3 linked regions of the Saccharomyces cerevisiae S288C genome follow. The gene in region 1 interacts genetically with each later gene. Each region holds a gene or a part of one and is shown in the gene's direction. Other genes may lie near its edges.

Evidence for each region.
Region 2: of HMRA1 (region 1) and INP52, extra expression of one rescues a mutant of the other (dosage rescue), as found in Saccharomyces cerevisiae (one study listed by BioGRID).
Region 3: of HMRA1 (region 1) and YMR1, extra expression of one rescues a mutant of the other (dosage rescue), as found in Saccharomyces cerevisiae (one study listed by BioGRID).

Annotation. Positions count from the first base shown.
Region 1 is NC_001135.5:291,932-294,934, forward strand, and holds HMRA1 (Hmra1p), read left to right. Parts: upstream 1-1,903; coding exon 1,904-2,008; intron 2,009-2,062; coding exon 2,063-2,308; intron 2,309-2,360; coding exon 2,361-2,390; downstream 2,391-3,003. Other genes in the region: HMRA2 (homeodomain mating type protein a2), read right to left, coding at 1,248-1,607. UniProt on the Saccharomyces cerevisiae protein: Mating type proteins are sequence specific DNA-binding proteins that act as master switches in yeast differentiation by controlling gene expression in a cell type-specific fashion. Silenced copy of A1 at HMR.
Region 2 is NC_001146.8:420,444-426,374, reverse strand, and holds INP52 (phosphatidylinositol-3-/phosphoinositide 5-phosphatase INP52), read left to right. Parts: upstream 1-1,879; coding exon 1,880-5,431; downstream 5,432-5,931. Other genes in the region: 2-isopropylmalate synthase LEU4, read left to right, coding at 1-1,480; YEATS domain-containing protein YAF9, read right to left, coding at 5,597-5,931. UniProt on the Saccharomyces cerevisiae protein: Dephosphorylates a number of phosphatidylinositols (PIs) like phosphatidylinositol 4,5-bisphosphate (PtdIns(4,5)P2), but also phosphatidylinositol 3-phosphate (PtdIns(3)P), phosphatidylinositol 4-phosphate (PtdIns(4)P), and phosphatidylinositol 3,5-bisphosphate (PtdIns(3,5)P2).
Region 3 is NC_001142.9:631,628-636,323, forward strand, and holds YMR1 (phosphatidylinositol-3-phosphatase YMR1), read left to right. Parts: upstream 1-1,987; coding exon 1,988-4,054; downstream 4,055-4,696. Other genes in the region: carbamoyl-phosphate synthase (glutamine-hydrolyzing) CPA2, read right to left, coding at 1-1,314; PXP2 (Pxp2p), read right to left, coding at 4,228-4,696. UniProt on the Saccharomyces cerevisiae protein: Lipid phosphatase which dephosphorylates phosphatidylinositol 3-monophosphate (PI3P). Involved in the control of PI3P-dependent signaling and in the maintenance of endosomal system integrity.

The DNA of each region.
Region 1 (3,003 bases):
GATAACCCAAAAGCATAATACGAGTAATGTTTCAGTATTGCTATTATATGTTTACACAAGGAAAACATATAATAACAAACCTCTAATCCGGTAGTACTTAAGAAACTATAGTTTCTATGTACAAAAAGGTAACTATGTAATTCTTACATTTACATAACATATAGAAGGGTCCAATAAACTTACTAAACTTACTACCTTGTTGTATATAGGCTAGATCGTAATCCACTACGTCAACATAAAAAAAACTTAAGGAGTTTGAATTTTATGTACAAACAGATTGTTAAAATATAATATAAGATTATGGAAACGAACTTGCTCTAAAAAAAATTTAAAGTTTTATAAAATCCTCGCACTATCGCTGTTATACATGATGTCCCCAAAGCGTGTACAAATAATTTTGTAGTATTGTATCGGTAATATCATACAAGAAGAAAATAGTTGCAAATCTCTAACCCACTAGTACTTAAAAAAACTGTAGTTTCAGTGCAAAAAAGTTTTAACATTACGTATCTTGTACCCTTTTTATTGCATATAGAAAGGTCAAATAATCCTTCACATCATGAAATATAAGCTAAATCGCATTTCTTTTCGTCCACATTTGCAAACAAAACTTTTCAATAATAATTTTATAAATAGTATCAATATATATATATATATATATATTTATTTGTTTACTTTTTCTATCAGTGTTTTCAATTTTTTATTAAACAATGTTTGATTTTTTAAATCGCAATTTAATACCTAAATATAAAAAATGTTATTATATTGCAAAAACCCATCAACCTTGAAAAAAAGTAGAAACGTTTTATTTAATTCTATCAATACATCATAAAATACGAACGATCCCCGTCCAAGTTATGAGCTTAATCTTCCATAAAAATATTTGAAAGCAATAGATCATGTACTAAACTAAAATCAGGGAAATTAAGACTCCTTTTGAAGTAATACCTATTACTTACTAATACGTTTGAGAATAAGCGCAGGTACTCCTGGTTTTTGTTAAAACTACAAATTTATACTTAGCATTACGAAGATTCTCGATTCCGAAAAACAAAAATTTTATCGTCATATACAAATCTAGAAATTACCAGAGCTATCCATCTTGTTCAAGAAGGTAGGCGAGGACATTATCTATCAGTACAAACATCTTAGTAGTGTCTGAGGAGAGGGTTGATTGTTTATGTATTTTTGCGAAATATATATATATATATATTCTACACAGATATATACATATTTGTTTTTCGGGCTCATTCTTTCTTCTTTGCCAGAGGCTCACCGCTCAAGAGGTCCGCTAATTCTGGAGCGATTGTTATTGTTTTTTCTTTTCTTCTTCTATTCGAAACCCAGTTTTTGATTTGAATGCGAGATAAACTGGTATTCTTCATTAGATTCTCTAGGCCCTTGGTATCTAGATATGGGTTCTCGATGTTCTTTGCAAACCAACTTTCTAGTATTCGGACATTTTCTTTTGTAAACCGGTGTCCTCTGTAAGGTTTAGTACTTTTGTTTATCATATCTTGAGTTACCACATTAAATACCAACCCATCCGCCGATTTATTTTTCTGTGTAAGTTGATAATTACTTCTATCGTTTTCTATGCTGCGCATTTCTTTGAGTAATACAGTAATGGTAGTAGTGAGTTGAGATGTTGTTTGCAACAACTTCTTCTCCTCATCACTAATCTTACGGTTTTTGTTGGCCCTAGATAAGAATCCTAATATATCCCTTAATTCAACTTCTTCTTCTGTTGTTACACTCTCTGGTAACTTAGGTAAATTACAGCAAATAGAAAAGAGCTTTTTATTCTTGATTTTTGTTCTTTCGGGGAAACTGTATAAAACTTCCAAAAAGGAAAAGTAAAACAATACATCTCCTTATATCAAAGAAAATCAAGAAGGACAACATGGATGATATTTGTAGTATGGCGGAAAACATAAACAGAACTCTGTTTAACATTCTAGGTACTGAGATTGATGAAATCAATCTCAATACTAATAATCTTTATAATGTATGTTTTCATTTCAAGGATAGCCTTTGAATCAATTTACTAACAATACTTCAGTTTATAATGGAAAGTAATTTGACTAAAGTAGAGCAACATACATTACACAAAAATATTTCTAACAATAGGTTAGAAATATACCACCACATTAAAAAAGAGAAGAGCCCAAAGGGAAAATCATCAATATCACCCCAAGCACGGGCATTTTTAGAACAGGTTTTTAGAAGAAAGCAAAGCCTTAATTCCAAGGAAAAAGAAGAAGTTGCAAAGAAATGTGGCATTACTCCACTTCAAGTAAGAGTTTGGGTATGTAATATGAGAATCAAACTTAAATATATCCTATACTAACAATTTGTAGTTCATAAATAAACGTATGAGATCTAAATAAATTCGTTTTCAATGATTAAAATAGCATAGTCGGGTTTTTCTTTTAGTTTCAGCTTTCCGCAACAGTAAAATTTTATAAACCCTGGTTTTGGTTTTGTAGAGTGGTTGACGAATAATTATGCTGAAGTACGTGGTGACGGATATTGGGAAGATGTGTTTGTACATTTGGCCTTATAGAGTGTGGTCGTGGCGGAGGTTGTTTATCTTTCGAGTACTGAATGTTGTCAGTATAGCTATCCTATTTGAAACTCCCCATCGTCTTGCTCTTGTTCTCAATGTTTGTTTATATACTCATATTTCTATGTGTTTATACAATTGCTATTGTTTATATAATGTAGTGACATTTTCTCTTAATCTTATACTAATTTCTATGACATTTATATAAGAAGAGACTTATGATCAACATAATTTTGCAAACTTTGAGAGAAATATGTCTTTCTACTGCGATAAAGTTATTATTTAGATTACATGTCACCAACATTTTCGTATATGGCGATATAATTTATCATGTTTTGGTATGATAATTTAATTTTTAAAAAAACAAATTTAATTGACCTCATTAATTAATATTTATTAATACCTTTAAATGTTGAGGTAAATAGCTATTTTCTCTC
Region 2 (5,931 bases), on another chromosome or scaffold:
TCAATGTCTTGTCCAATCTAGAGAACACTTGATTAAGAGAACGGTGGAAGCATTAACAGGTGCTAAAAAGGCTACTATACATACTTACTTGGCAACAAGTGATATGTTCCGTGAAATTGTTTTTAATATGTCTAGAGAGGAAGCTATTTCCAAGGCAGTAGAGGCCACCAAACTAGTTAGGAAACTAACTAAGGATGACCCTTCCCAACAAGCCACTCGTTGGTCCTATGAGTTTTCCCCCGAATGTTTCAGTGATACTCCAGGTGAATTTGCTGTAGAAATTTGCGAAGCTGTTAAGAAGGCTTGGGAACCTACCGAGGAAAATCCAATCATTTTCAACTTACCTGCTACCGTAGAAGTTGCCTCTCCAAATGTTTATGCTGATCAGATTGAATACTTCGCTACCCATATTACTGAGCGTGAGAAGGTTTGCATCTCTACACATTGTCACAATGACCGTGGTTGCGGTGTCGCCGCCACAGAGTTAGGTATGCTTGCAGGTGCCGACCGTGTAGAAGGATGTCTCTTTGGTAATGGTGAACGTACAGGTAATGTGGACTTGGTTACTGTTGCTATGAATATGTATACCCAAGGTGTTTCTCCTAATTTGGATTTCTCTGACTTGACCTCTGTCCTAGATGTGGTTGAGCGTTGTAATAAGATCCCAGTATCGCAAAGAGCACCATACGGCGGTGACTTGGTCGTTTGTGCCTTTTCCGGTTCTCACCAAGACGCCATTAAGAAGGGTTTCAACTTACAAAACAAGAAGCGTGCTCAAGGTGAAACTCAATGGAGAATCCCATACTTGCCATTGGATCCAAAGGACATTGGCCGTGATTACGAAGCTGTCATCAGAGTCAACTCTCAGTCTGGTAAAGGTGGTGCCGCTTGGGTTATTTTGAGATCTTTGGGTTTGGATCTACCAAGAAACATGCAAATCGAATTTTCTAGCGCCGTTCAAGACCATGCTGACTCCTTGGGTAGAGAACTAAAATCAGATGAGATTTCCAAGTTATTCAAAGAGGCTTACAACTACAATGACGAACAGTACCAAGCTATTAGTTTAGTCAATTATAATGTTGAAAAATTCGGCACTGAACGTAGAGTGTTCACTGGTCAAGTCAAAGTAGGCGACCAGATCGTCGATATTGAAGGTACAGGTAATGGTCCAATCTCTTCTTTGGTCGACGCCCTATCAAACTTGTTGAACGTGAGATTTGCCGTAGCAAACTACACAGAGCATTCTCTAGGTTCTGGTTCTTCTACGCAAGCTGCTTCTTACATCCATCTATCGTATAGGCGTAATGCCGACAACGAAAAGGCCTACAAATGGGGTGTAGGTGTCTCCGAAGATGTCGGTGATTCTTCAGTGAGAGCCATCTTTGCCACCATTAACAATATTATCCATTCTGGTGATGTGTCCATTCCATCTTTGGCCGAGGTCGAAGGTAAGAATGCTGCGGCATCTGGCTCTGCATAAGAACTTTTCTGTATTTCAGGACTTATTCGCTTCTATTTATTTCTATACTTATTTATTTACTTCCTTTCCTTTTTTTTTAACCATATAATTACTAGAAGCACGGATGTCTAAATTAGAATTACGTTTTAATATCTTTTTTTCCATATCTAGGGCTAGTGCTTGTTTTTCTTTTTTTAGTATATTCTTGAACCAAATACGTGTGGGGTGACCCGAAACTTGTTTGGCGGTTAGTGACGAAATTGAAACAAACCTGGAGTTATTAAGAGAGATTTAACTGGAAAACTAGGCATAAAGGACAATAAGTACTCGCTTCATATAGTCTCAACATATTTTTGTTCGCAGAATTGGTGACAAAGGCCACGCAAAGGCAGCAGAATCAAAAACAAATACTCAGTAGCTATGAAAATACTCCTATCGAAACAGCAAACTAGAAAGATAGCAATAGTTTCAGAAACACATGGACTGGTATTTAGGCCAATAAACAGTAAGAACTCTCGCAGATCTACATGTGCCGTGGAATTGGTTCCGAAAGCTGAATTAAATGGTAATGGTTTCAGAAGACTATCTAACCATGAAATATACGGTTTTATTGGTCTCATAGAAATTGAAGGCCTTATGTTCATAGCAACCATAACAGGTAAATCTAAGGTGGCCCAGCCGATCCCAAACAAAACGGTTAACAAAATATATGCTGTGGATTTTTTTTGCTTAAATAATTCTAAATGGGATTTCATGGACATCGATTCATCCGGTTATCCGATTGTTACTAATGATGGAGATTTTGCAATAAGCTCGCCTCCTAGTATTTCCACACATTCTTCTAGATCATCGCTACGTTCTTCTTCCTCTAGGAGTTTGAATGCTCAAGAACAAGCTCCCAAGCATCCATGTCATGAACTAAGAAAGCTATTATCAAATGGATCTTTTTATTACAGCACCGATTTTGATTTAACTTGTACATTGCAGAAACGTGGATTCACGGAACACTCTTTGAGTTTTGATGATTTTGACCGGGAGTTTATGTGGAACTCGTTTCTTATGGACGAAATCATCACATACAGAGACAGACTAGATGTAACGGCCAAAGAACTATTGGATCAACGAGGATTCCTCACGACCGTAATCCGAGGGTTTGCTGAAACAATTTTTAGCTATATTAATAGGTTGAAAGTAGGACTTACCATTATTTCCAGGCAAAGTTGGAAAAGAGCAGGCACAAGGTTTAATGCACGTGGTATAGATGATGATGGCCATGTCGCAAATTTTGTTGAAACAGAAATGATTATGTACTCTTCTCAGTATTGTTATGCTTTCACGCAGATAAGAGGAAGCCTTCCAATTTTTTGGGAGCAGGATACATCTTTGATTAGTCCAAAGATTCAAATTACCAGATCTGTTGAAGCAACACAGCCCACGTTTGATGAACATTTTATAAGACTATTTAAGAAGTATGGGCCAGTTCATATAATCAACCTGCTGTCTACTAAATCTTCAGAAATTCAATTATCGAGGCGATACAAGGAACAGTTGAAAAATTCTGAGAAAATGAAAATCGGTAGAGATGTGTTCCTAACAAGCTTTGATTTCCATAGAGAAACTTCGCAAGATGGGTTTGCAGCTGCAAGTAGGATTATCCCTAAAATAAGAAACACAATTTTGGACGCCGGTTACTTTTCATACGATGTAAAAGAAGGGCGATTAATATCCGAACAAGACGGTGTCTTTAGAACCAATTGCTTGGATTGTTTAGATAGAACAAATTTGATCCAACAGACGATTTCACTGGCCGTTTTCAAACTATTTTTGGAAGACTTCCGATTGGTAAAACCCAGTAGTTTCATCGACGATAATGAATTTGTGCAAAAGGTGAATGCTTTATGGGCCGACAACGGAGATCAGATATCACAAATTTACACTGGGACAAATGCTCTGAAATCGTCCTATTCAAGGAAAGGTAAAATGTCTTTTTCTGGCGCCCTTTCTGATGCGACGAAGTCCGTTAGTAGAATGTACATCAACAATTTTGTAGATAAAGGAAAACAGCAAAATATTGACACACTTTTGGGCAAACTACCGCACCAGCAAGTTGTTGAACTTTATGATCCAATCTGCGAATACGTCAATGAAAGGCTGTTAGAGTCAGAGGAAAAATTCACCACTCATTCTAACATAAATTTGTTTGTCGGTACATTCAATGTTAACGGAAACTCTCGAAGAGCAGATTTGTCAAAATGGTTATTTCCAATCGGCGATAAATTCAAACCTGATGTCGTTGTGTTAGGGTTGCAGGAAGTTATAGAGTTGACCGCAGGGTCTATCTTGAATGCAGATTATACGAAAAGTTCTTTTTGGGAAACTATGGTTACTGACTGTTTGAATCAATACGAAGAAAAATATCTTTTACTTAGAGTGGAACAGATGTCCTCTCTTTTGATACTATTTTTTGCAAGATCAGATAGAGCCTATAACATAAAAGAGGTAGGTGGGTCTACCAAAAAGACTGGGTTTGGTGGTATTACTGGAAACAAAGGTGCAGTAGCCATTAGATTCGATTATGGGGCAACTTCATTCTGTTTCGTTAATACACATTTATCAGCAGGTGCGAGTAACATTGACGAACGTCGCAATGACTACAACAATATCTACAGGAACATAACCTTTCCAAGATCAAAGACAATTCCACACCATGATTCGTTGTTTTGGTTGGGTGACCTTAACTACAGGATAACTTTGACAAATGATGAAGTTAGAAGAGAATTAAGGGCTCAAAAGGATGGCTATATTGATAGATTGCTTCAATATGATCAGTTGACTCAAGAAATAAATGAAGGAGTGGTATTTCAGGGCTTTAAAGAACCGACCCTCCAATTCCGTCCGACCTATAAATATGATTATGGCACAGATAATTATGATACTTCTGAAAAGGCGAGAACTCCGTCTTGGACTGATAGAATCATATATAAAGGTGAAAACCTGCATCCATTGGCATATTCGGACGCACCTTTAAAAATAAGCGATCATAAACCAGTTTATGCTGCATATAGGGCAAATGTGAAATTTGTTGACGAAAAAGAGAAGCTTAACCTAGTTGAGAAGCTGTATGCAGAATATAAGAATACGCATCCCGAAGCACTAACTACAGGTCCTGACGAACTTTCTCATGCAAGAATGGAAAAACAAAAGGAAAGTATACCCTTAGATGCAACCGTTCAATCAGCGGGCATAAAACTAATTGACCTAGATGATACTTCCTCGTGCGTTTCGCCTCTACTTTCTGGTCCCAGTCCCCAACCGTCTGTTGTTGGCCCTGGAGGACTCAGTAACGTATCACCCGATAAAAGTAAGCTCAATGTGCTTCCTCCGCCTCCTCCTACCTCGAGGCACAATAAGGAACCATCTTCTAAACTTCTTTCCCCTACCAAAGAGATTTCCATTGTCAGCGTATCGCCGCGTAAAGGTGAGAGCAATCTTCCTGCCTTAGAGAGACACAGTACACCCAAACCACTGCCGCCAGTGCCCGCTTTATCTTTATCTAAGCCAGTCTCTTTACAGAAAAGTTCTTCAGAATTACAGCATGCTAAAGAGACCATAGATAATGGGAAAATTGTTCCTCGACCTTGTCCTCCTATTAGAAGGAAGAGCAGTACTGCCCCGGACGAAATCTCTACATCTACCAAAAATTCAGGTGTGTCCACTACAGAAGATCCTGAGCCAGCAAAGGCCTCCACAAAACCTGAGAAGCCACCAGTTGTCAAAAAACCGCATTATTTAAGTGTTGCTGCTAACAAGCTTAACACCTCTCAAGAACACTCAATAAAAGTTTCCCCGTCGAATTCAAAATCTGAAGAGGAACTCCCTTGCAAGAAAAAGTCTAAACCAAAAGTTCCTGCGAAGAACCCTGAACTAGAGAAGCTAAGCGTTCATCCATTGAAGCCTTGCGACCCCAATTAAATTGTGTTACTAAAATTACGCATTTATAGAATATGTATCATAACTGTTGTTTAGATGTTTATATGACTCTGCACACATTTCGGTTTTGTGAGCGCCGACCTTTCAAACCATGATCTGTATTACTATGGCTGTTATGAAAATACCGTTGTTCCGGGTGCAGTGATCCTAACTTCCGTTAATGGCTTCTTGTTTTACCAAGTTTTCCAGTTTCTGCTTCAATTCGTCAATTTCCTTGTCAACCTTTTCTATGCCGATCTCTATTCTGTCAATTTCTTCCTGTTCTAATTGCTTGGAGTATACACAATCATCAGTTTTGTTTGAAGGTAACAAATTTCCTGGTCGGCTCATTAAAATTTTGAAAAACTCTTCATTTGGCTCATTGAATACAATTTCATCAAAATACACAGAACTAACTTCTGCATCTTTACTATTATGGTCTGTTGTATTCTGCTCATTTCCATTGTCGGAATTCGGTACAGGATTAGCATAAGGATGAAGTC
Region 3 (4,696 bases), on another chromosome or scaffold:
TTCATCAAGTTGATCGCCGAATTCAGTAGAACCTTGGAATCCCAATAATGATGGATCCACCTGTCTTAATGCTTTTTGAAAGGCTTCTTCATAGTTTCTACCAATAGCCATAACTTCTCCAACTGATTTCATAGAGGAACCAATGGATCTGTCCACGTATTGGAACTTAGAAAGATCCCACTTAGGTATTTTTGCCACAATATAATCCAAAGATGGCTCAAAGTTAGCCACTGTAGTTTTTGTGATTGGGTTTGGCAATTCTGGCAAAGTATAGCCTAGCCCAATTTTGGCGGCAGTGTATGCTAAGGGATAACCAGTGGCCTTAGACGCCAATGCAGAGGAACGAGATAAACGTGCGTTCACTTCAATAACTCTATAGTCTAGCCCATCAGGTTGCAAAGCGTATTGGACATTACATTCACCAATAACACCAAGGTGTCTAATGATTTTAATTGCGGCGGATCTTAACATATGAAACTCTTCATCTGATAGGGTCTGCGAAGGAGCAAAAACCATAGAATCACCAGTATGAACACCAAGTGGGTCGAAATTTTCCATATTACATACTGTAATACAGTTACCAACCCTATCTCTGACCACTTCATATTCAACTTCTTTCCAACCTTTCAAAGATTTTTCAACAAGAATTTGTGGGGCCAACGACAAGGACTGTGCGGCAAGTTCCTTCATTTCACTTGCATTGTTAGCGAAACCTGAGCCTAACCCACCCAAAGCGTATGCAGATCTGACAATAACTGGGTATTTGACCCTTTCAGCAGCCTCCAAAGCTTCATCCACGGTTTCACAAGCAAATGATTCTGCGATGGGAATGTTGATATCCTTTAACGCAGATGCGAAAAGATCCCTATCTTCAGAAGTGATCAAAGTTTTGATAGGAGTACCTAAAACTTTGACGTTGTATTTAGCCAAAACACCAGATTCATCCAGAGCCACCCCACAATTTAGACCTGTTTGACCACCGAAGGTTAAAAGTATAGCATCCGGCCTTTCAAGTTCAATGATATATGTGATGTATTCTGGTGTAACGGGCAAGTAATAAATCTTGTCCGCCAGGGAATGAGAAGTCTGGTTAGTAGCGATATTTGGGTTAACCAATATAGTAAACTTGTTATCTTCCTTCAGAGCTTTGATAGCTTGAGAACCACTGTAATCGAATTCACCAGCTTGACCAATAGAGAGCCCTCCTGATCCAATGACAAGTACAGAATTTACTCCTTCAACTAATTGAGGTTTGTAGTCCTCGGTAGTAAAAGCAGAATTCGTAGGCTCTGTTGATGTATAAATCGATGTCATTCTTTTCTTCCTGTCTATGTACTGTATTGCTCTTCCTTTATAGAACTAATTTTAACTATAGATGTTAGTTTTTCGATGCTTAAACTTAAATAGCGCTTCAAAAAAGAGATAAGGCATACTATAGAAGACGTATTAGTAATTATATATATACAAATAGCATGGCAGAAATGCTTATGACGGAAAAAAAAAGATTGGATTTTCTCGATGCTTACTCAAGGTGACACAATCGTTACGACATGGAGGTTCCTATCTCTGATATTCAAAAGTTATTGCCATCTCATCAATAAGAGTCATTCACAATAATCTATAGAATGCCGCAGGAAAGAAGACAGTGGTGGATGAGTCATTTTCTCAACCCTAGTTTACAATCTGAATGTTTAGGGGATTTACTATTTTTAATTAGGACATTTGAATATTTCTGATAGGGTAAAATCACTTTTTAGGGTTTCTGATTTTCTATTTTCCTCATTTTTCACAATAATAACAATGTTGCCATTCTTTTATCACTACCCTAAATGTACCAAATATTAGTAAGAAAAGAAACATTATAAAGAAAAGGAGGTTTTACAAGGGTCACTTGGTGAGATTAGGTCGTCGTTATTATTTTTATTTTGTGGGCGGGGTGTAATAGTGCTAAAAAGAGGGAAAAGAAATAGTATACCATTCCGCAAAGATGGAGTACATCAAGATTGCCAAAGTATCTAATGTAGTGCTGCATAGAAGAGGTACGGCCACACAAGGTACTTTACATTTGACTACTCACCATTTGATCTTTGAGTCACCACAATTGTCGACGGAATTTTGGTTTCCATATCCTTTGATCTATGGAGTGCATAAAAACCCGGGTAGTACATTACTGTCCAAGTTGACTTCCACTAATCAAATCCAATTGGAGGGAACGGATTCACAGAATTACAAGCTTTACCAGGGTAAGGATCTATGGTCTTTTGTAAATATCAAGGTAATTGGGAAAGATTATGCGGTATTCTCATTGGATTTCGGTGGTGATTTACATCTACAGGCAAGAAAGGTGTATGATTCCATCTTAAATTTGACGGTCCTGTCCAATATCACGCAACTATATGCATTTATTTACATATCCAACAATCTGGAAAGGAAACTACCTTCACCCGATAGCTGGGATATATATGACCCAATTAAGGAATTTCGAAGGCAGGGCCTCGACAGTAAAGATGAAACATGTCCTTGGAGGCTATCCACGGTAAACGAACACTATGAATTTTGTCCAACGTATCCCTCAAAACTTTTTGTACCAAGATCCACGTCAGATATATTATTGAAGCATGCTTCGAAGTTTAGATCACAGAAAAGAATTCCTGTTTTAACTTATCATCACAAGGCAACAGATTGCAACATTCTTAGGTCATCTCAACCATTACCGGGGTTGATCAATCAGAGGTCCATTCAAGATGAAAAATTAGTTTGGGAAAGCTTCAACTCATTTTGTAATAAAGATATTAGAAGAACGAAACATGTAATAGTAGATGCCAGACCCAGAACAAATGCATTAGCACAGATGGCGTTGGGTGGCGGGACAGAAAATATGGATAATTATAATTTTTTTTTAGCTGATAACAATATGGGTGTCGATAAAAGTCTAAAACTGCCCACAGTTACACGGTTATTTCTTGGTATAGATAACATTCATATTGTTTCCAACACAGCTGCATACATGACGGAAGTTATCTGCCAAGGTGGCGATTTGAATTTACCACTGGAACAGAATTTAATTAGGAGTCAAAAATTTTCCAATTGGTTGAAGTTGAACACTCTTATTTTAAAATCCGTTGATATGCTTTTAAAGTCCATCATTTTCAATCATTCCAACGTTTTGGTTCATTGTTCTGACGGTTGGGACAGAACCAGTCAAGTTGTATCACTATTAGAAATTTGTTTGGATCCTTTCTATAGAACTTTTGAAGGTTTTATGATCCTAGTGGAAAAAGATTGGTGCTCTTTTGGTCACCGGTTTTTGGAAAGAAGTGGTCATTTAAACTCTGATATTAGATTTCATGATAACACTATGCATTCCAACTTCAACGATGTGGATACCAATGGCGATGATCTTGACATAGGTGTTAACACTCAAGACGATTATGCTGAAGATGATGAAGGAGGTGAAGATGAGACGAATTTAATTAATTTGAGTAGAATTTCCAAAAAATTTAACGAAAACTTTAAATTGAACAAGAAAAGTCTAAAGTTCGTCTCCCCAGTTTTCCAACAATTTTTAGACTGTGTATACCAACTTTTGACGCAAAACCCAGATCTATTTGAATTCAACGAAAGATTTTTAAGAAGACTAGTTTACCACTTGTATTCATGCCAATATGGAACATTCCTTTCCAATAGCGAGAAGGAGAAATTTCAACAGAATTTGCCAAACAAGACTAAAAGTGTCTGGGACTACTTCAGATCTAGAAGAAAGCAGTTCATAAATCCAAATTTCATACAGAGAAAAAGAAGCGGCATGAATGAGCACGATCAAAACCTTGAAGAGGAAGAAAAAGTGGAGTGGATTTCGCCGGATCTGAAGAAAGTCCAATGGTGGTGGCAGTTATATGGAAGAAAAGATTCAGAAATGAATGATGAATTACGCCATAAACGAGACTCAGTACCCATATCGGTGGATAAAAAGAGTAAAGAGCATAGTAATTCCGATGGCGGTAAGGGTTTAAATTTGTCAATTTTTGGATTTGATATGTTTAATAGAAAGTGATCTGGTTAACGGCAAAGAAGACAAATAAGTGAGTTAGTATTTTGCATACAATGATAGAAGTATAGAAAAGTTCAAGCATTTCTCCGTTGTTAGTATACATATATATATATTAATTTTAATGAATAAGGGTACATATATTATGAGCATAACGAGTGGCCGATCGGCAAAGGGGCTTACAATTTTACAACACCAGATTTCCAACTAACACCACACCACTGAGATATTAGTATAGCCAATCCTCTCACTGCCTCCACAGTTTCCTTATCACAACCAATATTCAAGGCACCTTTCAAATGCCCACGCAATTGAGGATTAACATCTTGTGGAACCAAAGAAGCAATTATCACTAAACTTGTCTCTTGCGCAGATAGTATCTCATCAAAGGCAAACAAAGGGCCATATACATGGACCAGTGTATAATACCATAAGTCTGGGTACGAAGAGTTTAGATTGTTTACCACGCGGGTTGAGACTTTGTTGTATATTGAATTCCAATGCCGTAAGCCGTTCTGTATGGTATGATCTCTTTCCTGGATTGTCTTGTCATGCTTCCTTCTCATAGAGGTTTCCGAAAGGGGAGAACTGTTTCCCATGGCAGCCTCCCACGGGTCTATTGGGTCTAAGTGCGGTACTAAAATGTCC